7 linked regions of the Cricetulus griseus genome follow. The protein of the gene in region 4 interacts with the protein of the main gene of each other region in a pairwise test. Links are inferred from orthologs where the notes say so. Each region holds a gene or a part of one and is shown on either strand. Other genes may lie near its edges. The genes, in order: Tgoln2; Ap2b1; Zbtb43; Ap1m1; Mtf1; Entr1; keratin, type I cytoskeletal 40.

Evidence for each region.
Region 1: the proteins of Ap1m1 (region 4) and Tgoln2 interact in a two-hybrid assay, tested with the Homo sapiens proteins (2 studies listed by BioGRID). The link is inferred for Cricetulus griseus from reciprocal best matches to the Homo sapiens genes AP1M1 and TGOLN2.
Region 2: the proteins of Ap1m1 (region 4) and Ap2b1 interact in binary tests that used the Homo sapiens proteins (3 or more experiments, as listed by UniProt). The link is inferred for Cricetulus griseus from reciprocal best matches to the Homo sapiens genes AP1M1 and AP2B1.
Region 3: the proteins of Ap1m1 (region 4) and Zbtb43 interact in binary tests that used the Homo sapiens proteins (3 or more experiments, as listed by UniProt). The two-hybrid records come from large-scale screens. The link is inferred for Cricetulus griseus from reciprocal best matches to the Homo sapiens genes AP1M1 and ZBTB43.
Region 5: the proteins of Ap1m1 (region 4) and Mtf1 interact in binary tests that used the Homo sapiens proteins (3 or more experiments, as listed by UniProt). The two-hybrid records come from large-scale screens. The link is inferred for Cricetulus griseus from reciprocal best matches to the Homo sapiens genes AP1M1 and MTF1.
Region 6: the proteins of Ap1m1 (region 4) and Entr1 interact in binary tests that used the Homo sapiens proteins (3 or more experiments, as listed by UniProt). The two-hybrid records come from large-scale screens. The link is inferred for Cricetulus griseus from reciprocal best matches to the Homo sapiens genes AP1M1 and ENTR1.
Region 7: the proteins of Ap1m1 (region 4) and keratin, type I cytoskeletal 40 interact in binary tests that used the Homo sapiens proteins (3 or more experiments, as listed by UniProt). The two-hybrid records come from large-scale screens. The link is inferred for Cricetulus griseus from reciprocal best matches to the Homo sapiens genes AP1M1 and KRT40.

Annotation. Positions count from the first base shown.
Region 1 is NC_048601.1:64,348,727-64,352,936, forward strand, and holds the start of Tgoln2 (trans-Golgi network integral membrane protein 2), read right to left. Parts: upstream 2,801-4,210; coding exon 2,795-2,800; intron 872-2,794; coding exon 400-871; intron 166-399; coding exon 1-165. UniProt on the Homo sapiens protein: May be involved in regulating membrane traffic to and from trans-Golgi network.
Region 2 is NC_048600.1:96,535,848-96,539,956, forward strand, and holds the start of Ap2b1 (AP-2 complex subunit beta), read left to right. Parts: upstream 1-1,309; 5' UTR 1,310-1,447; intron 1,448-3,594; exon of another isoform or gene 3,595-3,644; intron 3,645-4,109. UniProt on the Homo sapiens protein: Component of the adaptor protein complex 2 (AP-2). Adaptor protein complexes function in protein transport via transport vesicles in different membrane traffic pathways.
Region 3 is NC_048599.1:145,169,799-145,173,298, reverse strand, and holds part of Zbtb43 (zinc finger and BTB domain-containing protein 43), read left to right. Parts: intron 1-53; 5' UTR 54-76; coding exon 77-1,480; 3' UTR 1,481-3,500. UniProt on the Homo sapiens protein: May be involved in transcriptional regulation.
Region 4 is NW_023276806.1:246,994,534-246,998,558, forward strand, and holds the start of Ap1m1 (AP-1 complex subunit mu-1), read left to right. Parts: upstream 1-1,225; 5' UTR 1,226-1,354; coding exon 1,355-1,396; intron 1,397-4,025. UniProt on the Homo sapiens protein: Subunit of clathrin-associated adaptor protein complex 1 that plays a role in protein sorting in the trans-Golgi network (TGN) and endosomes.
Region 5 is NC_048595.1:28,233,005-28,236,504, reverse strand, and holds part of Mtf1 (metal regulatory transcription factor 1), read left to right. Parts: intron 1-20; coding exon 21-259; intron 260-1,082; coding exon 1,083-1,214; intron 1,215-3,500. UniProt on the Homo sapiens protein: Zinc-dependent transcriptional regulator of cellular adaption to conditions of exposure to heavy metals. Binds to metal responsive elements (MRE) in promoters and activates the transcription of metallothionein genes like metallothionein-2/MT2A.
Region 6 is NC_048599.1:137,777,235-137,781,288, forward strand, and holds the start of Entr1 (endosome-associated-trafficking regulator 1), read right to left. Parts: upstream 2,801-4,054; 5' UTR 2,702-2,800; coding exon 2,632-2,701; intron 2,549-2,631; coding exon 2,399-2,548; intron 2,036-2,398; coding exon 1,967-2,035; intron 1,240-1,966; coding exon 1,124-1,239; intron 881-1,123; coding exon 470-880; intron 1-469. Other genes in the region: Pmpca (mitochondrial-processing peptidase subunit alpha), read left to right, coding at 2,848-2,915, 3,612-3,814. UniProt on the Homo sapiens protein: Endosome-associated protein that plays a role in membrane receptor sorting, cytokinesis and ciliogenesis. Involved in the endosome-to-plasma membrane trafficking and recycling of SNX27-retromer-dependent cargo proteins, such as GLUT1.
Region 7 is NC_048600.1:113,048,877-113,053,114, reverse strand, and holds the start of keratin, type I cytoskeletal 40, read right to left. Parts: upstream 2,801-4,238; coding exon 2,354-2,800; intron 1,086-2,353; coding exon 1,003-1,085; intron 703-1,002; coding exon 546-702; intron 1-545. UniProt on the Homo sapiens protein: May play a role in late hair differentiation.

The sequences.
Region 1 (4,210 bases), on a different chromosome or scaffold from region 4:
GCTGCTGCTTCTGATCCGTCTGCCCGCCGGGCTCTCCCGGCTTAGACTCCACTTCCTTCTCAGGAGACATGGGGCTCTGGTTGGAGAGTTTTTCTTTAGAAGACTGAATCGGAGAATTATCGTTACCTGAGGTGATGAGTGGGTTAGATTCATGCGGCGTAACACCTGAAATAGAAAAAGCAGTTAAGCCCTCGGAAGAAAAAGCTGGGAGAAGAGAAGGGGGCTTGGCTTCTCAGCGCTGGAAGATGCCAGCGGTGATGGCCGAATGAGAGAAGGGTGGAGATGGCCCGAGGGTCGGGCCAGGAAAGGAGGACGCCAGCTCCGGTGGTAACCCGCCAAGGTGAAGACGAGAGAACCTGAGGGAGAGGGTGGGATGGGGCGGGGGCTGGGGGGTCTTACTCGCCACTGCGACACTTAGGAGCAACGCAACTAGGAACCGCATCCTGTAGTCTGCACTTCCGCCCTCTTCTGCTGACGTGAGAGCGGCGCGAGGGACTTCGAGCCTGTGGCCACTCCCTTTCCGGCGGGCTGTTCCTCTTCCGGCGCAGCCCCGCCCCGGGGGCGGGGCTAACGGGTGCGGGCTGTCAGCGGCTGAGTATTCCGGTAGTGTGCAGCGCACGTGAGGACCCGCTCTTCCTCTTTTTCTCAGCACCCTGACGAGCTCAACCGCCTCTTCCCTGTGCACGTGTCCTCGTGCTCTGGGAGTTGTTCTGCGCGGCTGGCGCTGCGTCGCCCCTCGAGGCTCATGATATGGGGTCGCGGGGCCGGGAGCCGCTTCGCCGCGTCGTCCGCCGGTTCCTCTGACATCTCCGTTGCTGGTGGTGCTTTTCTCACTCCACACCAAAACGTACTCTGCTCGGGGCTTTCCCGTCTAGAAACAAACACTTCATCACTTTCGTTCCTGGTCGGAATCTCTTTCTTGACGGTATCTAGGGCCCTCTGAATTTACCACGGAATTTTTTTTCCCCTTTTTCTGAATTTGTTTGTATTTGATACTGCATTACTCTGCGGACGGGCTAGCGTCAAGCTCGTGCCTCCCGAGTGCTTAGGATTGCATGCGTCTCGCCACGCCCCCTTCTGGGGCTATTTATTTATTTAAGACATAAGGTATCAAAGATTTATTTTGTGTGTACCACCTATGCGCGGTGTCCTTTGAAGACGTGTATCAACACTGCCTGGCAGCAATATATTCTTAATAATTCAAACAAGAAAGCAGAAAAAAAGGTAATACTTATAAAAATTTATTTTAGGGAAGCCCAGCAGTGCGGTACATGCCTTCAATTCCAGCACTCAGGAGGCAGAGGCAGGAGGATCTTTGAGTTCGAGACCAGCCTGGTCTAGTTTCAAGCTAGCCAAGTCTACATAGAGGAACCCTGTCTTAAAAAAACAAACAAGAAAATACTATTTTAGGGGATAGAGAAATGATGGATTAGTGGTTAAGAACACTAACTGCTCTTCCGAAGGACCTGAGTTCCATTCCCAGCGCTCACAAGATAGCTAACAAAGGTCTGTAATTCCAGTGTCAGGAGATTTGACACCCTCTTTTGGCCTCCACAGACATAGTACGAATATGGTGTACAGACATACATGTAAGCAAAACATACATTTTTTAAATTCTTGCTGTTTGTTCATCTATTGATTATTATTTGCATTTGTTTCTTGTATCAGCTGTGATAGGGCTGGGTTGTTTAAACAGGTTGCTTGAAATAATTTATGAACATTTGCCAGTTTAGGTATTTTGTAAACAATGATTTAACAAATAGCAGGTCCTAGCTCAAACCAAAAATCCCAAAAACTATGTTCGTTTTGTTTTTGTTGTTTTGAGACAGGCAGCTTATAGCAGACCTGGAGCTCACTCCAAAAAGCAGTTGACCTTGAGTTAGCATCAGTCTTCCTTCCCCTGCCGAGATTACAGTTGCGTGCCACCATGCCACGTTAAATGGTCCTCAAAACTGGGGAGGTTTAAGACAGAAGCTATTTTAAATAAAATTATGAAATTATTTTATGTGCATGTGTGTTTTGTCTCCATTTATACCTATTTATCACGTGCCTGTTTGGGGCCCAAGGAAGCCAGAAGAGAGAATTGGATCCTTTGGAACTGGAATTGAGAGATGATTGTGAGCTGCTGTGTGTGTGTGCTAGAGATTGAACCTGGGTCCTCTGGAAGAGCAGCCAGGGCTCTTAAACTCTGAGCCATCTCTCCAGCCTCAGAGGCAAAGGATCTTTTGAACTGCCAGATTTTGGAGGCCAGCCTGAAGAACAAAGTGAAACTCAAGTGCATAAATAGCCAGTTGTGGTGGTGCACGCCTTTAATCCCAACACTCAGGAGGCAGAGTCAGGCGGATCTCTTGTGTGTTTGAGGCCAGCCTGTTCTACAGAGTGAGTTCCAGAACATGCAGGGCTGTTGCACAGAGAAACCCTGTCTCAAAAAAAAAAAAAAAGCAAAAGTACATAAATAAATACAACTTTAATTTCATAAAGTAAGCAATCTGGTGAAGTACATAACTACCACATAGATGTTTATTCATGTTTACTGTAATGGTTCATTTTTATTGTCAACTCGATGGGCTTTAGAATCACCATGGAAAGAAGTCTCTGGGCACTCCTGTAAGGGATTATCTAGGTAAGGTTAACTGAGGTGGTAAGACCCACCCTGTGTGTGGACATTAGTATCTCATGGGCTCGAGTCTTGAACTGAATAAAATGGAAACCAAGCTGAGCACAACATAGAATATTCATACCTCTCTGCTTCCTGACTACAAATTCAGTGTGACCAGCCACCTCCTGCTCTTACAGCCATGATTTCCATTCCATGATGCTCTGTGTATTTCTGGGAACTGTAAGCCAAAGTTAACCTTTAAATTACATTTGTCAAGTAGTTTGCAATGATCTCCAGACAAATAACTGATTGAAAGCATTCCAAGAACTGCCAAGCAGAATATGAAAAGTGTGTATCAGCTGAGGAATGAACCATGGGACTGAGGACAGAAGGTTGTAGATACTTCTGGGGACTAATGAAAGGAGAGAGGGATGAGGATTCCTGGCAGAGTGAGCAGCACATGCAGTGTGAACCTGGTGTTGTGGGTAAGCCTAAAGAGCAAGCTTGTTGTGTGACAAGGATAATGATAGAGAAGGAGGTTGGAACAGAGCCAGACCGAGAAACCAGTGATCTGGGAGTTGACGAGAATGTAAGTTTTTATGCAATAGAAAATATGTCAGCTAACTCTGGTTGACAAGTAAACTGGGCCCACTCCAGCCAAAAAGGACTATAGCCATAAGAAAGTAACACTCTGTGAGAGGCCTGGATGTGAGATATGATATATGATATGATATGATATGATATGTAGTCCTGGATGGCTGAAATTTTTCAAAATTTCAAGAACTAGTACATAACACAACTACAGTTTTAGAAACAAGGGCCTTTTCTGTTATTTGAATAAAAATCCCTTTAACAGGCTCCTCACCACTTCTCCCCATCCTTTTCCTCTCCCCTCTTACATTACTGAAGAAAGAATAAAAATCTGATGAGAAGTCTACCAGATTATTTCAGGAGCTGGACGATAGCTCAGTGGTAAAGTGCTGCTTGCCTGACATGTGAGAAGCCCTGGGTTCCGTCTCCAAAACTCAAAAAAAAAAAAAAAAAAAAAAATCTTTAGAATGTTGACTCTGCCTTGGCTAGAGGAAGTGAACTGGTAAAGGAAACTTTTTCTAAAAGAAAATTCTGTCTGCCTGCTTTAAGATAAATGTTTGACTAACATTTAAGGATATTGGCTTAGTGAGGGTGTGGGTGGGTGGGGAGGGTAGTGGCAAATGATTAAACCTGACCTGGTGTCCACATTACTAGGTAGGGGAGGAAAAAAGGTCTGCTCACACAGAGCTCTTGGACACTGAAGAGGTTTAAGTAGGGGCAAGTTGTAATCAGAGTGGAGAATGTTTGGCCATTACTTGGCTGGTATCACAAAGAATTGACTTGGGTAGTAGGGGAAAGGGATCAGGAGACTCTTGCAACAGTCCCAAGTTGTGCACAGGCCCAGAGAGCATGATGGGAGGTGGTCAAACTGGAGATGCGATTGGAAAGCAGTACCAATATGCTTCCGAGGTAGACTGGAAAGGAAGCAGAGGAAAGACGGGGAGGGAGAAAGGAAGGCACTTTCTCCCTGAGGTAGGAACGAACCACTGCTCGAGAACCAGAAGGAAATGAATTTGCTTC
Region 2 (4,109 bases), on a different chromosome or scaffold from region 4:
ATCTTTGTACCAGGAAGTACTTTGTATAACTTTCAATAAATACACCTTTGTACTGCTGTTTGGGGTTCAGTCTATCAGAGAGGCTGGACCTTCCTGCTCCCACATAGGCCTTAAAATATCATCTTGGAGTACCTTCTTTCTTGAACCACACTTCATCTTCACAGTGCACCCTAACAAACTAACCTGAGAGGCTGGACCTTCCTGCTCCCACATAGGCCTTAAAATATCATCTTGGAGTGCCTTCTTTCTTGAACCACACTTCATCTTCACAGTGCACCCTAACAAACTAACCTGATTGCAATTTTGTAATTGGTTGAAGTTGCCCTCTATTTTTGTTTTTCTTTTTTTCATTTTTTGGTTGAGACAGGCATTTTCTGTGTAGCCCTGGTTGTTCTGGAACTCACTCTGTAGACCAAGCTTGCTTCGAACTCAGAGATCTGCGGGCCTTTTCCTTCCGAGTCTTGCCATGAGGCAGAGGCTGGTGGATCTCTGTGAGTTCCAGGCCAGCCTGCTCCAGGACAACTAGGGTTGTTAGGAAAAAAAAAAGTTGGATCTCTATATCAATTCCTGAGAGATAGTAGCCCCTAATAAATACTTGTTCAATGGTGGAGTGAGAAAAGCCAGAAAGCAGCTGGGCAGAAGAACCTCTAATGTATAGACACAAAAGTTCAAAACAGGTGAGTCCCAGCACGCTAGAGGCACAAGCAAGAGGGGCTCCTGTTGTAGACTAGCCTGAACTTCATCGCCTGATACTTTTTTCTTCTGTTTCTGAAGCTACCTTGTACGACTTAAGCCCCAACAAGATTAAGAGTGTGTGTTAGGTGGCTCGACAAGATTGAGTGTGTGCCGGGTGGCGCGAGATGGGGCACTTATTGATTAAGTCTTCCTAGTCATATCCAATGTAGGGATTCGAACTCAGATCTGAATGCTTCTTAGCCTCATTGAGTCGCTGTCTCCTAGTTCCACTGCTCATGTATGTGGATCAGTCCTGATTTCTATCACCTGTACGGTCTTCTGAATCTGACAGGCAAATTAGCTGAAGTTTGTGTTTCAGAAAATAAGGTATCTCACACAGGTTTTACAAAATTCTTGTTCACGGAAATAAGTCCCGAGAATATCCACTTATTTAACATATCCTTTGGGAAAGCCACTGCGGGTGGGTCCCTTGGTCTATAGGCACTGTCCTGACCCAGAGAAAGGGAAACCTTTCCGTTGCCGAGGCAACAGAGACACAGCCTGGTTGTTTGGGTCTCCCGCGCACCCGGATGACGTCACGCGACGAGATTCTCTCTTACGCCAAAGCTTCCGGCCCACCATCTTTGTCCCTGGCAGATTGGGTTTTGCGCAGTGGCTTAGATCTAGAAAGAATCGTGACGGGCAGGAAACCATTACACCACCACCCGGGCTGTGCTCTCCCGCTACCGCCGCCACCCCGCCCTTGCCTCCGGTGAGTTCAAGGCGGCTGGCTTTGGGGTGTGTCCCTGAGTGACTGGGGGTGGTTGTGAGGGAGGGCAACCCCAAGCCGGGTCTTAGGCGCGGGAGGAAAGGAGATCCGAGGAGCGTGACGGTTGAGGATGGAGGGAGTCCTCGGGTGTGACCGTTGTGAGGGGGAAGCTTGGAAAAAGTGCCTCCTCCGTGGGGGCCGTGGCGGGATAGGGCTGAGCTCGGGTGTAGCAGCGGGTAGTTGGGGGCTTCGGAGCCCAGCGGGTTCCCAAGACCGGCTCGGAAAGGACTGAGGCCAGGGGTGTGGCCGCTAGAGCCTGGAGGCCGAGGGAGAACCACCCAGCTTTCCCGTTTGGCGACTGTTCATTGAGAAGCCTGCACTGGACGTGTCCAGCAAGCAGAGGGAGAAAGGATTCCCCCCCCCGACGGTTTGGCCATTGAGACCTCTCATGTCACCCGTATTTGGGGTTTAAAGTCTTCTCTCCCTGCTTGGTGAAAACTGACCAGATCTCCAGGGTCTTGACCCGGGGGAGTGGGTAAAGAGAAAAGGGGACCAAATGTACTTCGAGGAAGAAAGGAGAAACCTGCAAAATTGACCTCTTGCGTGAGAGGGGGAAGCCAATGAAAGCAAATCTTAGCCCGGGGTTGTTTTTTTCTCCCCCTCTTTCTTCCCTGGGGTTATCAGGAGCAGTGTAGTTTGAGCAAGGCTGTAAATTCTACTAGAAGTGAAAAAAACCTGGAATTTCCTGCTATTTCTTTATTCTTTGAATCCACAGCATGTATTAGCTTTCTGAGCAGCCCTCTGGGGGAAAGCTCTTATAAGGCTCTGGCTATTTGTTTTATTACGAAGCAGCGTGAATGTGTCCTGGATGCTTCGTTGAATTTTTCTTTTTTTTAACTTTCAGAAGGGAGAGTGTTTTTAAATTGCCAAACACTTCTGCAGCCATTGTGGTTTAAAAGACAAAGAACACACAATAAGCTCAGAAAGGCAAGTTGACTGAGAGAGCGCTCTCAGTGAGGACCAGTTTAAATTATTCATTGCTTTCCTAGTGTGGTTCTGCTTAGCCTTAGGGTGCACTTACAAAGTAATAATAGAAAGCAGCCAGTGAAGGAGGTGCAGCAGAGGGTAATGCATCCCAGGGATGACTAAGTGAGATGTGAAATGAGAACTGATCTCAGGTGTCTTACAGGGCAACCCCCCCCCCCCCGAGAAATAAAGGGGAGCGCGTTCTGCAAAAAGTCCCCCTAAAGTTAGATGGTAAACTTAATTAATATAAAGCAAATATTTTGAGGAATTAAGGCTTAAAGAAGTTCCCTTACTTCCTTTCTGTAAAAGATCGTAATTTTCAACTATTATATCTTTTTTTTTTTTTTTTTTTTTTTCGAGGCAGGTTTTCTCTGTGGCTTTGGAGGCTGCCCTGGAACTCCCTCTTGTAGACCAGGCTGGCCTCAAACTCAGAGAGATCCGCCTGCCTCTGCCTCCTGAGTTCTGGGCCACCACCGCCCAGTAACTATTATATCTTAAGGCACATGTTTGACCCAAATTAGACAACGAATATTCGGAGAAGACACCATTCCCCTTTTTCTTTCCTCCTTGGCTTAAGTTTCCTAAAATGCCTTGGCATTTCTTAACAATTGGGTGTGAGATTGTTGGGCTTCTTTCTTTATGTATAATACTATAATAGTGAATTATCTTATAGTTATTGAAAGAAGCTGGGGGTGAATTTGGCTTTTAAATATTTTATTTCTGATAAGGTAACAATCTGAAGCTACTGTTGGCCTTGTGCTATTGAACATTTGACCAGATAGGATCTTTACACCTGTCTCAACCTTGTAAGTGAAGGTTGCTGGAATGACTCTTCTGCTCGAAGTTCGCAGAACTTTGTCTAGTTACTGACTTTATGTGTAAAGAAGGGCATAGTGGCATGTCCGACGATAGTGTTAGTTGCCACTTCCCAGAGAACCATTTGAAATTAAGACCACCTTATTAACTTTTTTCTGACCTTATTCAACTCAGCCTACTAATCTTATTTCAGTGTTGCATTTCTCTTTTGGGGAATTGGGGGAAGGGGAGGAGGGAGGGACTTGGACAACCTATATTTGGCAGAAACTAGGTTATGTTAATCTAGATCTATAACCTTCCTTGTACAGGATGGCCTGTGAAAGACGTGGCATCACACTGTGAGCTAGGACAAATGCAGGTATTATGTGCTTTGCCTGGTGGCTGCTTTGTTCTTTAACAGAGTTCCTAGGCCACCCCATAAATCAGTGACTTTTTAGGTTTGATGTTGTATGAAGTCGGATGAGTTCAAATTCCATTGTGGCTTGCTTATTTCTAGGGATTTCCTGAAAAATAAAAAGTTTATTCTAGTAGGATTTTGAGTTTTGAACTAGGCAAGTTGTATTTTTCTCCAGCTCTATCCTGGCTATTTTTCTGTGGTTTCTAATATAGGCATAGTTTTCACATCATATATTTGGAAAATCTGGCAGTGTCTATCTGGCAAGTGCTGGTGGTGTTTTATTTAAAAATAGGTATATATTGGGAGGTGAAAGTCAGAGTTACATTAAGGTTCTGTCACTGTCACCTCTTCTCATTTTTAATTAAATATTTAATGTTCATATATGCATATAATGTGTTTAGATCTAGTCCAAACCCATTCCTCCTT
Region 3 (3,500 bases), on a different chromosome or scaffold from region 4:
ATGCTGGGCTGCTTTGAGGATGGAGTTAGCACTAACTTTTCTTTCTCTTGCAGCACTAAACAAGATTGGTGATGAAATGGAGCCTGGAACGAACTCTTTTCGAGTAGAGTTTCCAGATTTTTCCAGCACCATTCTGCAGAAACTAAACCAGCAGCGCCAACAAGGACAGTTATGTGACGTCTCCATTGTTGTCCAAGGCCACATTTTCCGGGCACACAAAGCTGTTCTTGCTGCCAGTTCACCCTACTTTTGTGACCAAGTACTCCTGAAAAACAGTAGGAGAATTGTGTTGCCTGATGTGATGAACCCAAGAGTATTTGAGAACATTCTCCTATCTAGCTACACAGGACGCCTTGTGATGCCTGCTCCAGAAATTGTTAGTTACTTAACAGCAGCCAGCTTCCTCCAGATGTGGCATGTGGTGGACAAATGCACTGAGGTTCTAGAGGGAAACCCCACAGTTCTTTGCCAGAAGCTAAATCATGGCAATGACCACCAGTCTCCCAGTAGCAGTAACTATAATGGCCTGGTAGAGAGCTTTGAGCTGGGTTCCGGGGGGCACACTGATTTCCCCAAGGCACAGGAGCTGAGGGATGGTGAGAATGAAGAGGAGAGCACCAAAGATGAGCTGTCATCTCAGCTCACTGAGCATGAGTACTTGCCCAGTAACTCATCCACAGAGCATGACCGGCTGAGCACTGAGATGGCGAGCCAGGATGGGGAGGAGGGGGCCAGTGACAGCGCGGAGTTCCACTACACCCGGCCTCTGTACAGCAAGCCCAGCATAATGGCTCACAAACGCTGGATCCATGTGAAGCCTGAGCGCCTGGAACAGACGTGTGAGGGCATGGATGTGCATGCAGCCTACGACGAGCACCAAGTCACTGAGTCCATTAACACCATGCAGACAGAACACTTGGTCCAGCCTTCAGGAGTGGAAGAGGACTTCCAAATTGTGGAGAAGAAAGTAGAAGCAGAGTTTGATGAGCAAGCAGAGGAGAGCAACTATGACGAGCAGGTGGACTTCTATGGCTCCTCCATGGAAGAATTCTCTGGAGAAAGGTTGGATGGGAATCTAATTGGGCACAGACAGGAGGCTGCCCTCGCAGCAGGCTACAGTGAGAATATTGAAATGGTGACGGGGATAAAAGAAGAGGCGTCCCACTTAGGGTTCTCCGCCACTGACAAGCTGTATCCTTGTCAGTGTGGGAAAAGTTTCACACACAAGAGTCAGCGAGATCGACACATGAGCATGCACCTCGGTCTTCGCCCTTATGGCTGTGGGGTCTGCGGTAAGAAATTCAAAATGAAGCACCATCTCGTGGGCCACATGAAAATTCATACAGGCATCAAGCCCTATGAGTGTAATATCTGTGCAAAGAGATTTATGTGGAGGGACAGTTTCCACAGGCATGTGACTTCTTGTACCAAGTCCTATGAAGCTGCAAAGGCTGAGCAGACTACAACTGAGGCTAACTAAAAATAGGGTCTGGCCCTTGAGTGGCATGCACAAAAATAAACTATGGTAATTAATGCAAATCTGGGCACAGATGATGCGTGCCACTTGCTATTATGAGAGAAGCTTAAAAAGAAAAAAAAAAAAGAAGATATTTCTGAAAGACCAGCTCTAAGTAGGCCAATTAAAAAATTTAATTCCTCAAATTTGTATGTTCTGGTCCTGGCCTAGAATGGATGATGGGGATAAGTTCACCCAGTGCCCAACTGGCAAGATAGCCCTTCCAGCCAGCAGTGACTGCCGCGGTGGACTTGGTGGCAGACTAACCCACCAGTTCACTCAGGTGGTAGCAGTTGTCTATCACACAGTGCCCTGAAGTCCTGTTGCATTTTATTTTCCCCTGGTGGATGCAGAGGTTCTGGGGCTTTGCTTTGTTAGCGCATCACTGGATGCTACTCCCCTCAAGGCTGCAGCAGCCTGACTCGTGGGCTGAGTTGTGAACTGAGCTCTTTCATGTCTAGTTTCATGTTTTCTAAAGTTCTAGCTGAAACTGGCAATGTTCAATAGACATGAGTCCAAAACTTGGCTCCTGTTATAGTGCTTCAGACTTCTTTTTGTTTTGTTTTGTTTTGTTTTTCGAGACAGGGTTTCTCTGTAGCTTTGGAGGCTGGCCTCGAACTCACAGAGATCTACCTGCCTCTGCTTCCCAAGTGCTGGGATTAAAAGTGTGCGCCACCACCGCCTGGCTGCTTCAGACTCTTGACAAAGCACGGTTTTGTGTTTAGTTTTAATTGGGTTTGAACCATTGTGTCTCCTTTAAAGTCTGTGGGTGCCAGAGGTAGGTGTTTCTAGTCGATTTGTTACCCTAAGCTTCCCTCCATTTAATGGTAACAGTCTGAACTAGATATCCAACCTGCAGTGACTTATCACAGTACTGGCAGTGTCCTGTGGCCCTACTGCCTTAGATCATGGTGCTTCCCAACAAGGGTCAGCCAGGGACCACAGCTCATGGAACCTAGCCAGAATGCATGACTAAGAGTTACCTGTGAGTGGGACACTCCCATACTCATCAGAGGCAGTAACTTATAAAAACAAAAGGCTATACTTGAGAAAGGTCTCAAAAATACACTGGTGTAGGTGTTTTAGAGGGACACTGAGCAATACTGTCAGCTCCTTATGAGACCTGGAATATGCGTTCCAAGTGTGAAAGGAGTCCTGCATTAAGCAACGTCATCTACAGATTCCTGTTCCTCAGTCACAGAGAAAGCTGCACAGCACACATTTACAAGTCCCAGTAGTTTACACCCACCCTTCAAGACCTGGTCTCCCTGGAGTGTATGTTTTAGGTTGGAAAGAAGTCTTGTGTATTCAGAAAGGCTTTAAGCACATGACAGGCCTGAGGCTCTTCCTGGGATGGGTGTCTGTCTGCTTTTCTTCCCTGGGATAACATATTCTGACCAACAGTAGCTCAGGGAGTTTGGTTTATTCAGCTTACACTACCGTGTCACAGTCCATTCTGGGGGAAATCACAGCAGGAACTTGAATATCCACAGTCAAGACTATCAGCCACAGACATGCTCACAGGCCAGTCTGATTTGAGCAGTCCCTGATTTTAGACTCCCTTCTCAGATGACTCTAGGCTGTGTCACATTGTTAGCTCTAGCCGGACAATGGGACAGGGTGTCGCTCCTATGTCACTTTCCACACACAGTCTGTTACTGCTAAGTAGAAACTTTTTATTTCCTTAAAATAAAAATTCTCTTTCTTGGATTTGGGGTGAAATTTTGTTTTTAAAGTTTGTCTTTCTCTGACATTTCTGGCAAGGGCTTCTGATCATAAGACTTCTGACACCAAGAGTTCACCTTTGACCTTTGTTTGGGAAGGGGAAAGAAAATAGGGACTAGCCAGTAAATGCTTGTGATCAAGATTGCAAAACAGGCATCTATTTATGAACACTGTATCAATCTTGGTATATAAAAGCACTTTGTATTTAAAACTTTATTATAAGTGTAGGTGTAGGGGTTATTTTGTTTTGTTTTGTTTT
Region 4 (4,025 bases):
TATGTTCAAAATATAAAATGTATACATTATGAAACTGACAAAGGATAAATTAAAATTTTTTAAACTGCATCTTACTGGCTGACCTGGAACACACAGATCTGCCTGCCTCTGCTTCCAAGTGCTGGGATTGAAGGCACACACTACTATGCCTCACTAAAACTTAGTACTTTGTAAAAAGTCCATATTCAGGTGTGTGTGCATGAGTGCAGCTGTCCACAGAGGCATCAGATCACCTGGAACTGGAGTTATAGGCAGTTGTGAAGCATCATATGTGCCTGCTGGGAACAGAGAGAGGTCTCGGCCATTAGGAGTGAATACTTCTCCTGCCCAAAAAACTGAAAAAGGAATGGGGGGGGGGCTGCAAGTAAAGACGCCTGCTGCGGAAACTGATAACCTGATCTCTGGGACCCACATAGTGAAAAGGAGAAAACTGACCTCCCTGTGTGTACTGGAACACACACAAAGCAACTACAAGAAAGAAAGAAAAACAAAGGGGCGGGTGCTGAGGTGTTGGCTGGTCTCCCAGGACGGTTAAGAATGACAGAATTAGGGCTGGAGAGATGGCTCGGAGGTTCAGAGCAGTCCTGAGTTCAACCCCCAGCAACTACATGGTGGCTCACAACCATCTGTAATAAGATCTGGTACCCTCTTCTGGCCAGCAGGCAGAACACTGTATACATAATAAATTTTTAAAAATCTTAAAAAAGAATGACAGAATTAAAAGAAAATCAGCCACACTTTGCACTAGGCACGATGTCTAAATAACACACGTGCTAGTCTAGTCCCCTGGGTTCACTGGGCAAACTGGGGTGGGGCAGCCACTGATAAGTTGACAGAGGCGATTACTGATAAGTTTTGATTGCCATTCAGAGACTGACTTCCTTTAATCGCCACCTGACAGCGAATCACAGCTGGTGACGGGATATTGGTTTACTAGACTGCTGTCGAATGCAAGGCTGACCCAAATCGGTTCCGCTTTCAAACCCACAGCAGCGGGTTTGAAAGCGTTCACCCGGCTTCCACCTCCAGTCAGCCAGCCACAGCCCGATGGCCCCGCCCAGGCCCCTCAGGCCACGCCCACTAGGGAGGGTCCGCCCTCCGGGACTTACTTCCGGCCCTCTTCAGCAGTGGATGAAAAATACTGCCACAAAGTTCGTACTGCGCCTGCACCTATGTTGCTGCGCATGTGCGCACTCGCGGCTTGCCCCTCAGACCGGACATAACGGTCCGCGCGCTGCTCCATGGACCGGAAGTGGAAGGGAAGTGTCGCGGGGCGCGCCGGGCCTTGCTGAACGCCGGCAGTTCCTGCCGTTGCCGCCGCCCTCGGCTATTGCCGAGGCCTTCCAAAGACGCCATGTCCGCCAGCGCCGTCTACGTACTGGACCTGAAAGGCAAGGTATTGAAGGGCTCTCCACCCTCCGCGTTGCCAGGCAACAGCGGGGCCTCGCCCTGCCGGGACCCACCCTGTTGCTAGGTAACTGGCCGTCCAACCCTGCCAGGGCGTTGGGCAGGCGGGGCAGCCTCACTTGCGGACCCTGTCCTGTTGCTAGGAAACGGCCGGTGGTCTTTGAGAGTCCCGCCCCCTCCTTAGCTTACTGGGTGGGCTGTGGTTGCTAGGTGACCGTCGGCTTTGCCCCTCTCCCGCCGGGTCCGGAAGCTGAGGACCCGCGCCCCGGGATCGCGCGACCCTTGGCCGGAGGCGTGGCGGGGACTGTGTCCTCAGGTCGGCCCCTTGCTCCGCTTTCTCCCGAGAGCAGCTGCGCTTCCTGTGACATTGGGTTCAGAGAGGCGAGTGATAGGAATGCCGTCTTGCTGAGGGGAAACAGACTTGCTTGCCTAGAGTCACACTGATGACTGGGAAGTAGCCATCTGGAAGTCCCACCTCAAGCATCCTTGCTTTCAGCTTATGTTTTCAGAGAAGCCAGGCAGGGTGCTAAGCCCTGGGCCCCACGGGTGGGCAGAATCTGTCATGGCTCTCAGCACATGGAAAAGCACAGATACATGAATGACTGTTGGGACCGTGTGTTCATAACGGACTAGCAGCCCCAGCTGGGGGACAGAAAGCTTTCCTGACTGAGACATGAAGGCCCTGGAAGGAATCAGGGTCCAGGCATCTTCCCCAGGGGTGTCTGAGAAAGAAAACTTCATCTGTGTGTGTTTGTGTGGGTTTGCACATGTGTGTGGAGGAAGGAGACCCTGCTACCCTTACATGGGCTCTTGTTATCACACTCAGTCGCTGGACTGATTCAGCGAGGCTGCCTGGCCTTTAAACTACATGGATCTGCCTGTCTGTATTTCCCAGAAGCACCCCTTGGTTTTATAAGACAAGGTTTCTCTGTGTAGCTCAGGCGTCGCTGAGCACACTCTGTAGACCAGACTGGCCTTGACCTCAGATAGGCCTGCCTCTGCCTCAGGCGTGCTGGAATTAAAGGTGTACACCACCACCGTCTGGCATGTACATGGCTCTTTTACATGGTATCTGGATATGGCTAATTTGTGGTTTTGTGATGCAGAGGCAATAACCCCAAGTGTCTCAAGTCTGTTCAATGAGCGCTCTGCCAGGGAACCACAGTAAGCCCAATGCAAAAACCTCTTACTGGAATATATGATCAGCCTTCAGAAATGGGCTATCACTATCCCTCAATCCATCAAGGTAGAAGGCAGGTGGCCAGCCTTTTATATTTGGAAGCTACCAGAACAGGTCCAGCCACAGTAAACAAAGAACACTGGTGTCCAGCCCACATGGAAGAGCTAGAGGTGTCCAGAAGTGAAGAGGAGGTGTGCCCTAGCTCCAGCCTCTTCCTCAGTCCCTAGAATGTGTGCCTGCCTTGGATGCCACCCAAGGTCAACAGCTGGTGAGTCCCCAATCTGGGCTTCCTCCACAGCCTTCTGGGAACCTGAGTAGGCACAGTGTTCTCTAGGCCTTATGGCACATGCTCTGCCTTTTGCCCTGGCCTAGAGGTACATGGGCTGTCTGTCATGGCTTGCCTGTTCCTTTAGCAAACACCTCAGTGGTGCTTAGCAGGTGATCCATCCTGGACTCAAGCTGTAGAACTAGACTCACGTGTAGGTTCAGCCCATCTTTACAGCTGAGGTGTGTGGCCATAGATACCTCCCATGGCATCTCTGAGCTTTGCCTTCCCGGCTGGTCCAAAGAATCTTATCTGGGTTATTGTAGGTGTGATTCAGGCCTGGCCCTGCACAAGGCACAAAGAGCATGGAATTTAGGCTCCACAGGCCTAACAGTTAGGTTGCTTGCCTTCTCTTTGGCAGTCAGAGAAAATTACAAAAGACTTCCAGGCAGAGCTGGGCACCTGAGATGGTTCTGAGGAGGTGACAGGTATCCAAGTTGTCATGCGTGGTATAAGGCAGCCCACAGACTAGTGGTGGCACTTTAGGGCACCAATGGGAGGAGGCCCCAGGGCACTGCAGTTCCAGGAAGGAGGTCCCATGATGGTATGTAAGCAGACCTGCCTCTAGAAAGTTCCTCAGAGAGGCTGTAGAGCTCCCTGCCTCATTCCAAAATCAAGACAACCTTATGACACTGTGCCAGGCTGACTTGCTGGTTACTGTGGCCACCTTTGGCAAGCAGGAGGTCCTCCAAGAATGCTTGGCTGCTCTCTATTCTCCCACAGCTGCCCCTCAGCTTCCCTGCTTGGCAGTGTGGCCCTGGTGACCCTAGGTCTGGGGTGCTGGTTTCCCCTCCTTCTTCTTGATGCTGTCCTTCTGGGCACTGAAGGCAAAACCCCAGGCTGCCCCCTGTTACTCACAAGGACCTGTGTAGTCTAAGTCTGCCTCTCTGGGCACTGTAGTCTCTATCTGTAAAACAGGAATCAGAGCAGGCAAAGGGCAGTCCCTCGGCCCAACATCAGACTCAGAAGTTTACCCAGTGGGTGCTATGTCCCCTACAAGGCCTAAGCGCTTAGGAAAGAAAGGAACCACTTTTGCTACACTGTCCCAGCTGAAAGCAACAGAGACAGAATGTTTTCTGAAGTGACAGGTTCTGAGGCAGGTGGTACCCATGC
Region 5 (3,500 bases), on a different chromosome or scaffold from region 4:
TATCCCATGTCCCCTGTCAGGTCAAGCGGTACCAGTGCACCTTTGAGGGGTGCCCCCGCACCTACAGCACAGCAGGCAACCTGCGTACCCACCAGAAGACTCACCGAGGAGAGTACACCTTCGTCTGTAATCAGGAGGGCTGTGGCAAGGCCTTCCTCACCTCCTACAGCCTCAGGATCCATGTGCGAGTGCACACAAAGGAGAAGCCATTTGAGTGTGATGTGCAGGGCTGTGAGAAGGCGTTCAACACACTGTACAGGTCAGCCTCTCCATGGCTCTGCCAGCCTCCTGACTCTGAGCTTGGGACCACAGAACTCTTCTCCTTGCATATGACAGCTTTTGACACTTTGGAGAGCATAGCTGCACTCAGCTACTTAAAATGCATTATCAGAGCCTACTACTTAAAAACAGGTGTACCATGGGCTGAGGAGATGTGTTGGCACATCTGTGTGTAGGCTTGCATCTCAAGGAGTGACATCGTGGCCTTGGGATTTTTAGTAGTTGGCGTAGTCTTCTGACTGGCACAAGGCTAAGTTGGCACATAGCCTTTGAAATAACTTTCTTCTGTCCTGAGAGATGGGAAGTTGCCCCACTTGATGTCTGTTTTTCCATGTTTGTGTCAGGAGACTTACATAAATCTTCAATATTAGGCATAAAATAACAGACCATACCATTCTGAAAGTGCCTGATCTTGTTTGGTCCTAGAAGCCAAGCAGGTTTGGGCCTGGTTAATACTTGGTGGGAGAAATAATGCTGGCTAACACTGATGTGTACACTGTGCAAGGCACAATTCTAAGTGCTGGCCCCCAGAACAGCTACTAAGTAAACCGAAGTACAGAGCAGTTGTGTAAGGTACCTGGCCAAGAGGTCAGGGCCAGGACTTGAACCCGGAGGGATCTGTCTCTGATTAATGCTCACGCCACTATGCTACTTTCATCTCTGCATTTCTCTCTGGGTGAGGTCAGATGCCAGTGTACTTTGGTAGCGCATTCTGGTGCACTTGGTCCTACTGTGTGTTCGGCTGGCACTGGGAGGCTCGGTGGTACATTCTGCATGACGCATTTCTCTGGGACATTTTGCAGGTTGAAAGCACATCAGAGGCTTCACACAGGGAAAACGTTTAACTGTGAATCTCAAGGCTGCAGCAAGTACTTCACCACACTCAGTGACCTGCGGAAGCACATTCGAACCCATACAGGAGAAAAGCCATTTCGGTAGGTCTTGCTGTTTTCTGTTTGTCACTGACCAGGTCTTAGCTGGGTATCTTGATAGACTCTAGGAAGTTTTCAAAGTAGGAAGAAAGCTGCCTTACCCATTTCTTTTGGTGGTGTTAGCTTCCCACAGGGTAGCAGTGACCGCCTGCTGCAGGTTGGAGGAGTACAAGTGGACTTTTTCCCTGAGTGATAGCTGGCTGTTATGCCTCATTTTTTTTCTGTATTCTTTAAAGGGTGTTTGTTGAAGCTGACTTATATGGTAGATACTTTTCTTTGCACTAGGGAAGTACTGAGATTCTTAATCAAGGGCTGGGGAGGTAACCTGGGCTACAGAGTGAGACCCTGTGTCAACACCCCTTTCCCCTAAACAAAACAAAGCATCCTTAGTTGAGTGGGGAAGAGCCACAAGTTGTAGACAGTGTCTGAGCTATCAGCCAAAGTGGCTTGAGCTTGGAAAAGGGAGACCTACCTGAGAAAGGAGACTTAAAATTGTTTCTGAGCATGCTCACAAGGGAAAGTGAGGGTAGGAGGCTTAGCTCAGTGGTCTGCATGATCGACTCTGTTACTTAGTTGCTGTTGCTTTTAATATCTCATGTTTGTATACGTATAGAGCCACATGCTTTTGTGTAGATATTTCAAAATCCATGTTTTTAAAAAAATTTTAAATTTATTTATATTTTATATACGAGTGCTCTGTATATATATTTCCAGAAGAGGACACTGGATCCTATTACAGACAGCTGTGAGCCACCATGTGGTTGCTGGGAACTGAACTCAGGACCTCTGGAAGAGCAGGCAGTGCTCTTAACTGCCAAGTCATCTCCACAGTCCCCCAAATCCACATTTAAAATTTTAGTTTTAAGTATGTATCTGTGTGAGCACATGTCATATGTGTGCTGATATTCGTAGAGGCCAGAAGCTGGTATCAGATCCCCTGGAGATGGAGCCCTCTATGAGGGCTAAATTTGGGCCCCCTATGAGGCAGCAAATGTTCTTGACCACCGAGCCATCTCCCTAGCTGCATCATCCACAGTAGATAGGTCTGTAACCCTGAGGCGGCTTGTACCCATCCTCTTTTCCTCGGATGGCATTTAACACACGGCGTGGCTCCAGACACTCAGTAAGTGTTCACAAGCAGCCTTGGAAGATTATATGACATTTTAATAAGGTAATCAGTTTGTAAGGACCCCCATAACTGAATTTTAAGTATTGCTAAAGATTTCCCATAAACAATGTTCTTGAATTCTGACACGGGATATTGCTTAAAGTTCTTTCTTTCTTTCTTTCTTTCTTTCTTTCTTTCTTTTTTTTTTTGTTTGTTTTTTTGAGACAGGATTTCTCTGTGTAGCTTTGGAGCCTATCCTGGCATTCCCTCTGGAGACCAGGCTGGCCTGGAACTCACAGAGATCCACCTGCCTCTGCCTCCCGAGTGCTGGGATTAAAGGTGTGTGCCACCAACGCCCAGTGCCACCCTTCCATTTTCAGGTCACTGGTCCTTCTTTGCACACTTGCAGGCAGTTGAAAATTCTCCAGGAGCAGCTAGCTCCAATTAAATGGAATTGAGATTTTAAATTACAGATACATTCCTGAGTCTCAGCCCCATTACGAACAGGAGGTTACAGTCTAATTGGTTACTCTGCAGATATTTAATCACCCCTACCAGGTTGCTAGGAGGACTTTTATTTCTATACAGATATGTGCGTTTATTTTTGTGATGATTAAAACAGTTTTGTTGTGAATATTAGAGGAGACCTAGGTAGATACAGTGATGATTATACGTGACTAAAAACCAAAAGGCTTTAAAGAAACTTTCTATTTAAATAAGTAAGATGTTTAGATATGTAAGAAAACATACATATGTATGTTTTAAGTTGTTGCTATATAACAACTAAAACAATGTAAAGAACTACACAGACCCTGCTTTTGAGAAAATATAAAAAAAAAAAAAATATGCACACATCTGCCATGGTGGTACACACCTTTGTTCTCAGCATGGGGACGTAGAGGCAGGAGATCTCTGAGAGTTCCAAACCAGCCAGGGCTACATAGTGAGACTCTGTCTCAGATAAACATGCTTTCCCCAAATGTACGAAGAGAGGAAATAAGATTGGAAATGAGAGATGCCTTAAAGGAATCATGTGATAAATGTGTTAGTAATCCTGAGGAGGTGAGGATTGTCCTTGGCTTTGATTATCGAGAAAGTATGTGGGGACTAAGAGTATAGCTCACGTAGCACTCATGATGCCCTGGTCTTAAGCTTTACCACTGCATAAACCAGGTATAGTG
Region 6 (4,054 bases), on a different chromosome or scaffold from region 4:
GACTAATTTAAAAACCTCCCTTCATGTAGTACATTCAGTGGGACATCCCCGCGGAAACACTTCCAGTGGACCATTTATTCATTCTAGTTCATGCCTGCCTGCCTGCCTGCCTGCCTCTGAGCTCACCACAGTACTTCTCAGCCTGCTACACTAACAGCACAACCAACCAAGGGGAGAGTTCTCCATGGAGAAATTCCATTTTCTTTCTCTCTTTCTCTCTCTCTCTCTCTCTCTCTCTCTCTCTCTCTCTCTCTCTCTCTCTCTCTCTCTCTCTCTCTCTCTCTCTTTCAGGACCCAGGACCTCCCACGTGCTAGGAAAAAAACGTTACTACTGAGCTATATCTCTAGGCCCCTCTATGGAGACATTCTGCTGCATTAAACCCAGGCCATCCAAGAAGTGGATGACTGCAGCTTTTCTCGAGAACACTGCTCAGCTGTCTGTGTTCGGTGTCGCACAGCCCTCACTTACTGCTTCATAACTTATCTGCAGCGTCCGAAGGTGTCTGTCTCCCAGGGACTCTCCATGAGCTGCAAAGTCTGTATTAGGACTCCCAGCTGGAGATGCTGGGGAGACCCTTGAGTCAGGGTCACTCATTGTCCATGGGGGCAAAGACTGAGGACCTGCCAGCTCTGATGCATTGGAAAAAAAGGAAAGGTAGGTGCCACAGGGTGATAAATTCTCTGTGGCCCTAGAGGAATGAGTCTGATCCACAGTGGATGGCAAGTAAGCTCCATTCCATCCATCTTCTTCCTCCTCCTCCTCCAGGTTGCTGGGTCTCGTTGGGTCTTCAAAAAACGGCTGCTGATATTCCAGGCCATACCCCACAGGCTGGGGGGCAGGGCTGCTGTGGTCTACTCCCAGTGGGTGCCTCGAGGTTTCCTAAAAACAGTGGAGATAAACACTGTGACCTGCAAGCCCACACTCAGCCTTCTTTATGCTCAGCTTGCACAAAGAAGGCCCATTTCATCTACCAAAAGGAGCCAAGCAGCTGCTCCACCCACAGTTTCTCCAACAGCAGCCACAGCTGTCCTGCTTTGCTCCCCACACTCAAATGTCTGTCTCCAAAGCTGTAAGTTAGAAGAGATGTCATCAAAGGCAACCATTGACAGCTTCCAGATGTACCTTCGGGTAAATTCGACTGTTGCTCGTGTCTTCTTTTGACAGGCTGAGATTCTTGGTTTTCAGAAACTCTTTGAAGGAAAATGGATTGGCTTCTTCAAGGTCTTCAAGTTTGTCACCTGAAATAGCGGACACCACAAAGACTGTTAAAGGGTCCAACAACATCTTGTATTACCATTATATTTCAACTGTGACTCAGAGAATGCTACAAATAAGAAAGCTGCCCAAAAAGGGTGGAGAACAGGTCTGTTTGGCATACTCTCACCCCTTGCCACCTTAAAAAAAAAAAATACAAAAATTAAAAAAAAAAACAACACACTGTGCCAAAGATCAAGTCCAGGGTCCTGAACACATTTGGACAACTGGTATACCACTGAAGCTCCCCAGTGAATCTTGACTCCACACATTCAGTGTGGGCTAATGGTTACTCCTATAGGTGATTGAAAGCTTCTGGGATGCCACAGTGCCCAGAACTACTCCATGCCATTCCTTCCTCTGACCTTTTCTCCAGGTAACCTAGTTGATCAGCCTCTACCTTCCTCCACTCCTACCACACTCCAGTTACTTGTGTGGATCCCTTCCAGGTGCCAGCCTGAGTAAAGTGGGTTCTTGTGACTTGTGTCTTGCTGACTCTGCAGGGCCCTTTGATGATACTCTCCACCTCCCAGGCACCTCTGACATCTTAGGTTATTTTTGCCCTCACACCCAGTCTCCAATCCTTGGGCTTCTACCTCCACTGATTGTTTGGGCTCCAGGCACACCCATTTAAACCCTGTCATTCTGACAGTCCATGGCCTGGCACCGTGTCTGAGGAAGAGGTCAAGAAGAATCACTGAGCTACTCTACCTCCAAAGCGCGTCTCATGGGCTCCCGGCGGACCTTGCTTAGTATATTTCCCCTTTCCATAGCCAAAATCTGCAAAGAGACACTGTCAGCTCACCGTAATCACAGCAAGCCTTATGACTGCAGCATTTGTCCAGGGAGGTGAAGACCGCAGACCGCCTGACTCCCACTGACTGGCCCTAGTCTGGGACTAGGAGGATGGCTCCTAAAGCTGGGTATAGAGTAAACTACACACCAGGGCGCGCTCACAGCGTAGCTGCCGGTGGAACGCAGACCCACTAAATCCAGCCCCTGACCTCTCCCAATCCAGTGGGCTAAAGAGGTCTCCGAGCTCCACCGGGCACTGACCTTCCTGCCTCGGGGCGGGCAGGCGGGCTGTGGGGAGGGCTCCCCGCGCTTCCCAGCTCCGCACTGCGGCCGGCGCCCCTCTCTCACCTGTGTCTCCTACCGAAGCCAGCACCGGGCTGGGCACATAGCACATAAACGTCGGCCGAAAGCCGAAGAAGTGGGGGTGCAGGTCCCCGCCATGGGGGCGCTCACAGTCTAGCTGGGGGAGACAAGACCGGCGCTCATAGAACGCAGGAGCTGTAAGCGACAACGAGAGCGGCTTCACCGCGGGCCACCTCCGCCCGCGACCCCCGGCCCAGCCCCGGCCGCGCGCCGCTTACCGTCGGGAACCACGAGGCTCCGGGTCCTCGATAGTGGGGGCGCGCCCGGCCGCCGCGTGTAGCCCGACATCGCCGCGCCCTAACCCGGCCGTGACCCCATGGCCCACCGCGCCACTGCCAGCTTATGCCCGATCCGGCACGGCCGGCCGGAAGCCAGCGCCGAACGCCACGGGGCGGGGTCGGAAGCGGAAGTGACCGCAGAAGCGCGGCGGCGCGATGGCGACGGCGGTGTGGGCGGCCGCGCGGTTGCTTCGGGGGTCTGCGGTTCGGTGCGCGCGGCCCAGGTAAACTGAGGCGCGTCCTAGCGCGAAGAAATGGGGACTGGGTGGGGAGGGAGGAGCGGACCAGGCACCCTAAGGAACTGGAAGAGGAGAATGGGCCCTGGAGCAGAGCGCAGGCGCGTTGGGCCTGGAGAACGAGCCGGGGACTGGAAGCTAGTTCGAGGGTTTGGTGGAGTCAGCCTGCTGGGGCCTTCCAGACCCAAGGCGGAACTCTTGAGGAACAGGGCTGGCCCAGGGCTTCATATGTGGGAAATGCTTTCTCACACACCCTGCTGTCCAGAGTGGGCAGTGAAGACCCAAAGACCTGGAGCCGGAGAGATGGCTCAGCAGTTAAACGCATTGACTGCTTCTTCTGGGTTTGGTTACCAGCACCCACATGGTGGCTCACAGCATTCATAACTCCACTTCCAGGGGATCCAACACTCTTCTGACCTCCTTGGACACCAGGCATGCACGTGATGGCAAGCTCTCAAACACATAAAATAAGAACAAATATGTTTCTGTTAAAAAGGAACCAAAGGCTTCAGGTAACTTGCCTGAAAGCCTATGGCAGAACCTGGATGTCCATCGCTGTTACACATTCTGTGAGGCCATGGAGTAAATTCTACTGAAGACTTCCCTGTTGACTTCTCATGAACACACATGTGGTGTACATGAGTGGTCACCACTGACTCATGTAACTGGCTGGTTGTTCTGTAGGTTTGGACCTCCTGCACACAGACGGTTCAGCAGTGGTGCCACGTACCCCAACATCCCCCTCTCTTCTCCCTTACCCGGAGTGCCCAAACCTGTCTTTGCTACAGTTGATGGACAGGAAAAGTTTGAAACCAAAGTTACCACGCTGGACAATGGGCTTCGTGTGGCATCTCAAAATAAGTTTGGACAATTCTGTACCGTAGGAAGTAAGTTCTGTTGTCATGCCTAAGGTAGGCTTTCCATTTTGACAGCTGTAATTAGTATGTCCATCATAGACTACTCACAGGGAAAACTTGTTAGTTTTGAAAACTTATCCAAGATTCGAACGATGGCCATATTTGGAGATATTATATAAGGTATGCCTCTGTCCCCATTTTACTTTTCTGTAATTCTAGAAGTTTCCATTATGTATGGGATAGGTAGGATTCCATAAACATTGACTTTTT
Region 7 (4,238 bases), on a different chromosome or scaffold from region 4:
AACAGGGAAGAGTTAGACAATAAATTTATAAAATTCTTGAGAAATGCTAAGGTATCTGTAATTGTCAGCTGTTACTACCATCAAAATATGCAAAGAATACATTTTTGTTTTACTTTATTATGTAACTCTGCATTTCATTCTTAAGCTTATAATAGAAACAAGATTATAAATGTACAATATCTAAAAAATATTACTCCTAATATTGCATGACTATTTATTCCTTTTTTGGAAGTGGATACAGCTCTATTTTCTTGTTGTACAGTAGAGCTACAGAAATAGCCATTAGTGGAGTTAATTCTTCACCCAAGCAATGGCAGGAGGGAGAGTGGCCTCACCCTGGCACTTGGGGCGGGTGATGTTATGCAACAATACACACTGTATGTCACATCTACCTTGAGAGACACTGGGATGCTCAAACCACACAGTGGGCCTGCCTCTGGTTTTGTTCCAGCTTAGTCAGTGTCTGCCCTGGTTCAGTTTATACCCATGAAATCTCTCGGTAGAACTCTCCCTATAGTCCTTGGCACAGTGGCCACTTCACTTACCTCTTCGTGGCTTTTCTTAAGGCAAAGGAGATCACTTTTCAGGGACTCCACGTGGGCCTCCAGATCTGACTTGCACAGGGTCAGTTCACCCAGGATCCCACGAAGGCCACCGATGTCATTCTCCACCAGCTGGCGAAGAGACAGTTCACTCTCATACCTTTCACAGCAAGAGAAAGAAAAGGGAGTGTGTTACTTGGCTAAACACTGACCAAAGTGCCGGGGTACAAGGATGAGTGACATGTGGCCTCCAGGGAGACACATGTCACAATTCCCCGGGTATCCCAAATGATGGTGAATTCAAGTTTCAAACATTCTAAATTAAAAAAAAAAGATCTCATGCAGAGAATTCTCTATCACTGGAGGCCATTATTATTTTCAAATTAAATTTAAGATTTAGAATGCAATTTGTATACATAAAATACAATGTGGTTTAAAAAATAAATACAATTTGACTTACTTTGACCTAAAATCATCAGCAGCCAGTTTGCAGTTGTCCACCTGTACGGCAAGTCTAGAATTCTCTGCCTTCGTGCACAGTATCTAAGAGGCAAGTCATTATGTAATCAACAGCTCTTTGGAAGAAACCCACATTTCTGTTTTAACAGTCTGCCATTCATTAGCTTAACAAAATTAGCATAACATAATTTTCAGCCTATAACTATACCATGGAGAAAAAAGGAGACATGCAGTGCCAATTTAGAAACAAAATACAGACATAAAAATAGGTTCTCTTTCTAAAAAAAGATTTTATCTTTTTTCCAATTGTGTGTGAGAGTGTGTATGTATTTGATCTCTCTCTCTCTCTCTCTCTCTCTCTCTCTCTCTCTCTCTCTCTCTCTCTGACTCTGTGTGTGTGTGTGTGTAGACTTGTTCTTTGCCTTAGGATGCCAGAAGAGAGTGTCAGGTCCTCGGGAGATGAACTTATAGGTGGTTGTGAACTGCCATATATGGGTATTGGGAACTGAACTCAGGTTGCTCATGAGCGCTACAGTGCTGCTATCCACTGCTGAGTCATTTCTGCATCTCAAGGTTTCCTTTATAAGTGACACAAGGCAGGACATTTGGCAGTCATCATTGACAGCTGAGCTTTGTTAGTTTTCTCCACTGCTAATATTTATTAGAGTTGCATCTCTGTCTGTGGTCATAGAAATTCATCAATGAAAAAAGAAAGAAGGCTTTGTCAGTAGAGCATTTGCAATACAAGTAGGAGGACCCAGGTTCAAACCGTAGAACTCATGTATAGAAAGCTAAGTATAGCAGTGTGTGCCTGTTACCCCTGCAAGGGGAGACAGAGACAGCAGTATCCCTGGGACTCTCTGGCCAGCCACCCAGTGAGTCAAATCAGTGAGCCCCAGGTCCCTTGAGAGACTCTGTCTCAAAACACAAGGCGGGGAGTGGAAGACGCTTGCCATTGACCTCAGGCCTCATTGACAGCATGTATTCCCTCTCTACATGCACACGAAAGGAAAATGATTACCAGGTGAACTAAAAGAGATGGCATTTGATGTCTGTTTGATAAGGAATATAAATAAGTAATGATACATGCAGAACAGATTTTAGATATCATAATTCAGATTCCCCCTCTCTGTAGATGACATAGTCTACACACAGACATGACATTTCTATGGTCAATAGTGCTGATACTGAGACAGATTTCTTGCCATCTATGGCCCTCTTTTCCTGGCAGCATACCAGCTCTGGGAATCCCTCCTCCCTGGTTTTACATCCATAAAACAACCCGCGCCACTGTAAATATAAGAGAATTCTGAAACAGGAAACAGAGAACATTAGGGAATGAGACACACAACCTTTTGCTGGAGTTCTTCAATGGTGTCGAAGTAACGCTGATAATCTGGGCACACCAATGGGGCATCGGGCTCGCATTGCTCTCGGATCCTGCATTCGAGCTCCGCATTGTTCTCCTCCAGGCTTCTCACCCTTTCCAGGTAGCTGGCCAGTCTGTCATTCAGGAACTGCATCGTCTCCTTCTCATTGCTGTTGAACGCCCCTTCCTCGCACCATGCACAGCTCCCCACCAGGCACGGACTGTTACAACCGCCAGCGAAGTAGCAGGGTGAGAGGCGACCGGCTGAGAGGTGAGCCCTGCAGAGGAAGCTCGGGGTCTGACATCTGGATGTGGCACAGGTACTGGGCAGGCAAGTTGTATCGGTGGGACAGGGTGAGGCAGCCGCACAGTCCGGAGCCTCTGCACAGGGCTCAGAGGAGCAGCACCCAGGGGAGCCATCAGAAGCCATCTTCTGTGAAGGAATGAACAGACCGGATGCTGTAGTGCCGAGGTCTTGTCTCCAAACATCTCCTTCCCCCCCTGAGACCTTTATATCACCCTTCAAATGGGTGTTTACAGGCCACACCGATGTTTCCTCTAGCACCGCGGGTGCTAGTTTTCCTACAAACATCTCATTAGTGTTGCTTATTTACCGAGGAAGTTTTATGCCTCGTAAAAGGAGGATAAGTTCAGGTTACTAAATCAGGACGACTGTCATTTCCACGTGTTGCTTGGATAAAATCCTTATTTTAGCGAATAGCCATAGGAAACATTATCCCGTTGAAAGAATAAGGAACCCAAGAGAAAATCTGAGCCATTGGTAATCATAGGTAGAGCTCATTAGAGATACAGAAAGTAATATTTCCATAGGTTTTGATTTTGAAAATCGATTGCTCTTGTCTACTTTAAAAGTGGACACCACAGCTCATTAAATTGCATGTATTTGTTTGTGCTACCAGCCACCACAATGATAGTTAGCAATCGTGAAGGGCATGCATGCCTGCGTGTGTGCGTGCGTGCGTGCGTGCGTGCGTGTGGTGTGTGTGTGTGTGTGTGTGTGTGTGTGTGTGTGTCCTTGAAGCCTGTGCTTACATGGTAAAGAGAAAGGTGTATATACTGAGTGTAAAGCACGTGAGATCATTTTATACAACAATGAGAATAAGTTGTGTCCTGTGAGCCAAGACAGAAAGTGGTTGTCAAGATCTGAATTGTGGTCTTTGGTTATCTCAAACATTCTATCGCTAGCCAAACAGTGATCATGACCACCCCTGCTTAGTTTTTGAGATTGGATATGCTCAGAGTGGATGGTCATACACATAAGCTTTGCCTTCTCGTATTTCCATGTTAGATTCCTTATGCTACTTTTAAAAAGCTGTTATCATTCATTTATTTTGGTGTTGAGGCTCAGACATAAGGTATTGTGTTATTCTTTTGTTTAAAAAGAAGAAAAGAGAAATATTGAGACAGACATATTGACTTAAGACTATAAGTTTATTATAAGGCCCGGTAGAATGGAATGGGGAGACTAAGAGGGACAGGGTAATGGCTGACCGCCATGGCCGGTCGCCATAGAGAGACAGCGGGGAAACAGAGAGAGGGGACAGAGAGCAGGAACAGGGGGAGAGAGAGAGAGCGCGCGAGCGTAAAGGGGCAGAGAGAGAGAGAGAGAAAGGTGCAGGGGCCTATCTTTTAAAGGGGTCCTCTGCACCTGCGTGCAGACTTCTTTCCCATGGAACCTTGGGCTGACCAGGGTATTGCCTGAGTGGATTCCACCAGGTAACAGGGGCAGGCCAGCATAATGCCTGAACCTTTCATATTGTTCATACTACATATATGATATACCTCAAACTTCAACCCCAGTACCTATATTTGCAAGGACAGTGGAGATATAAGTTGTGGTGAAGGTT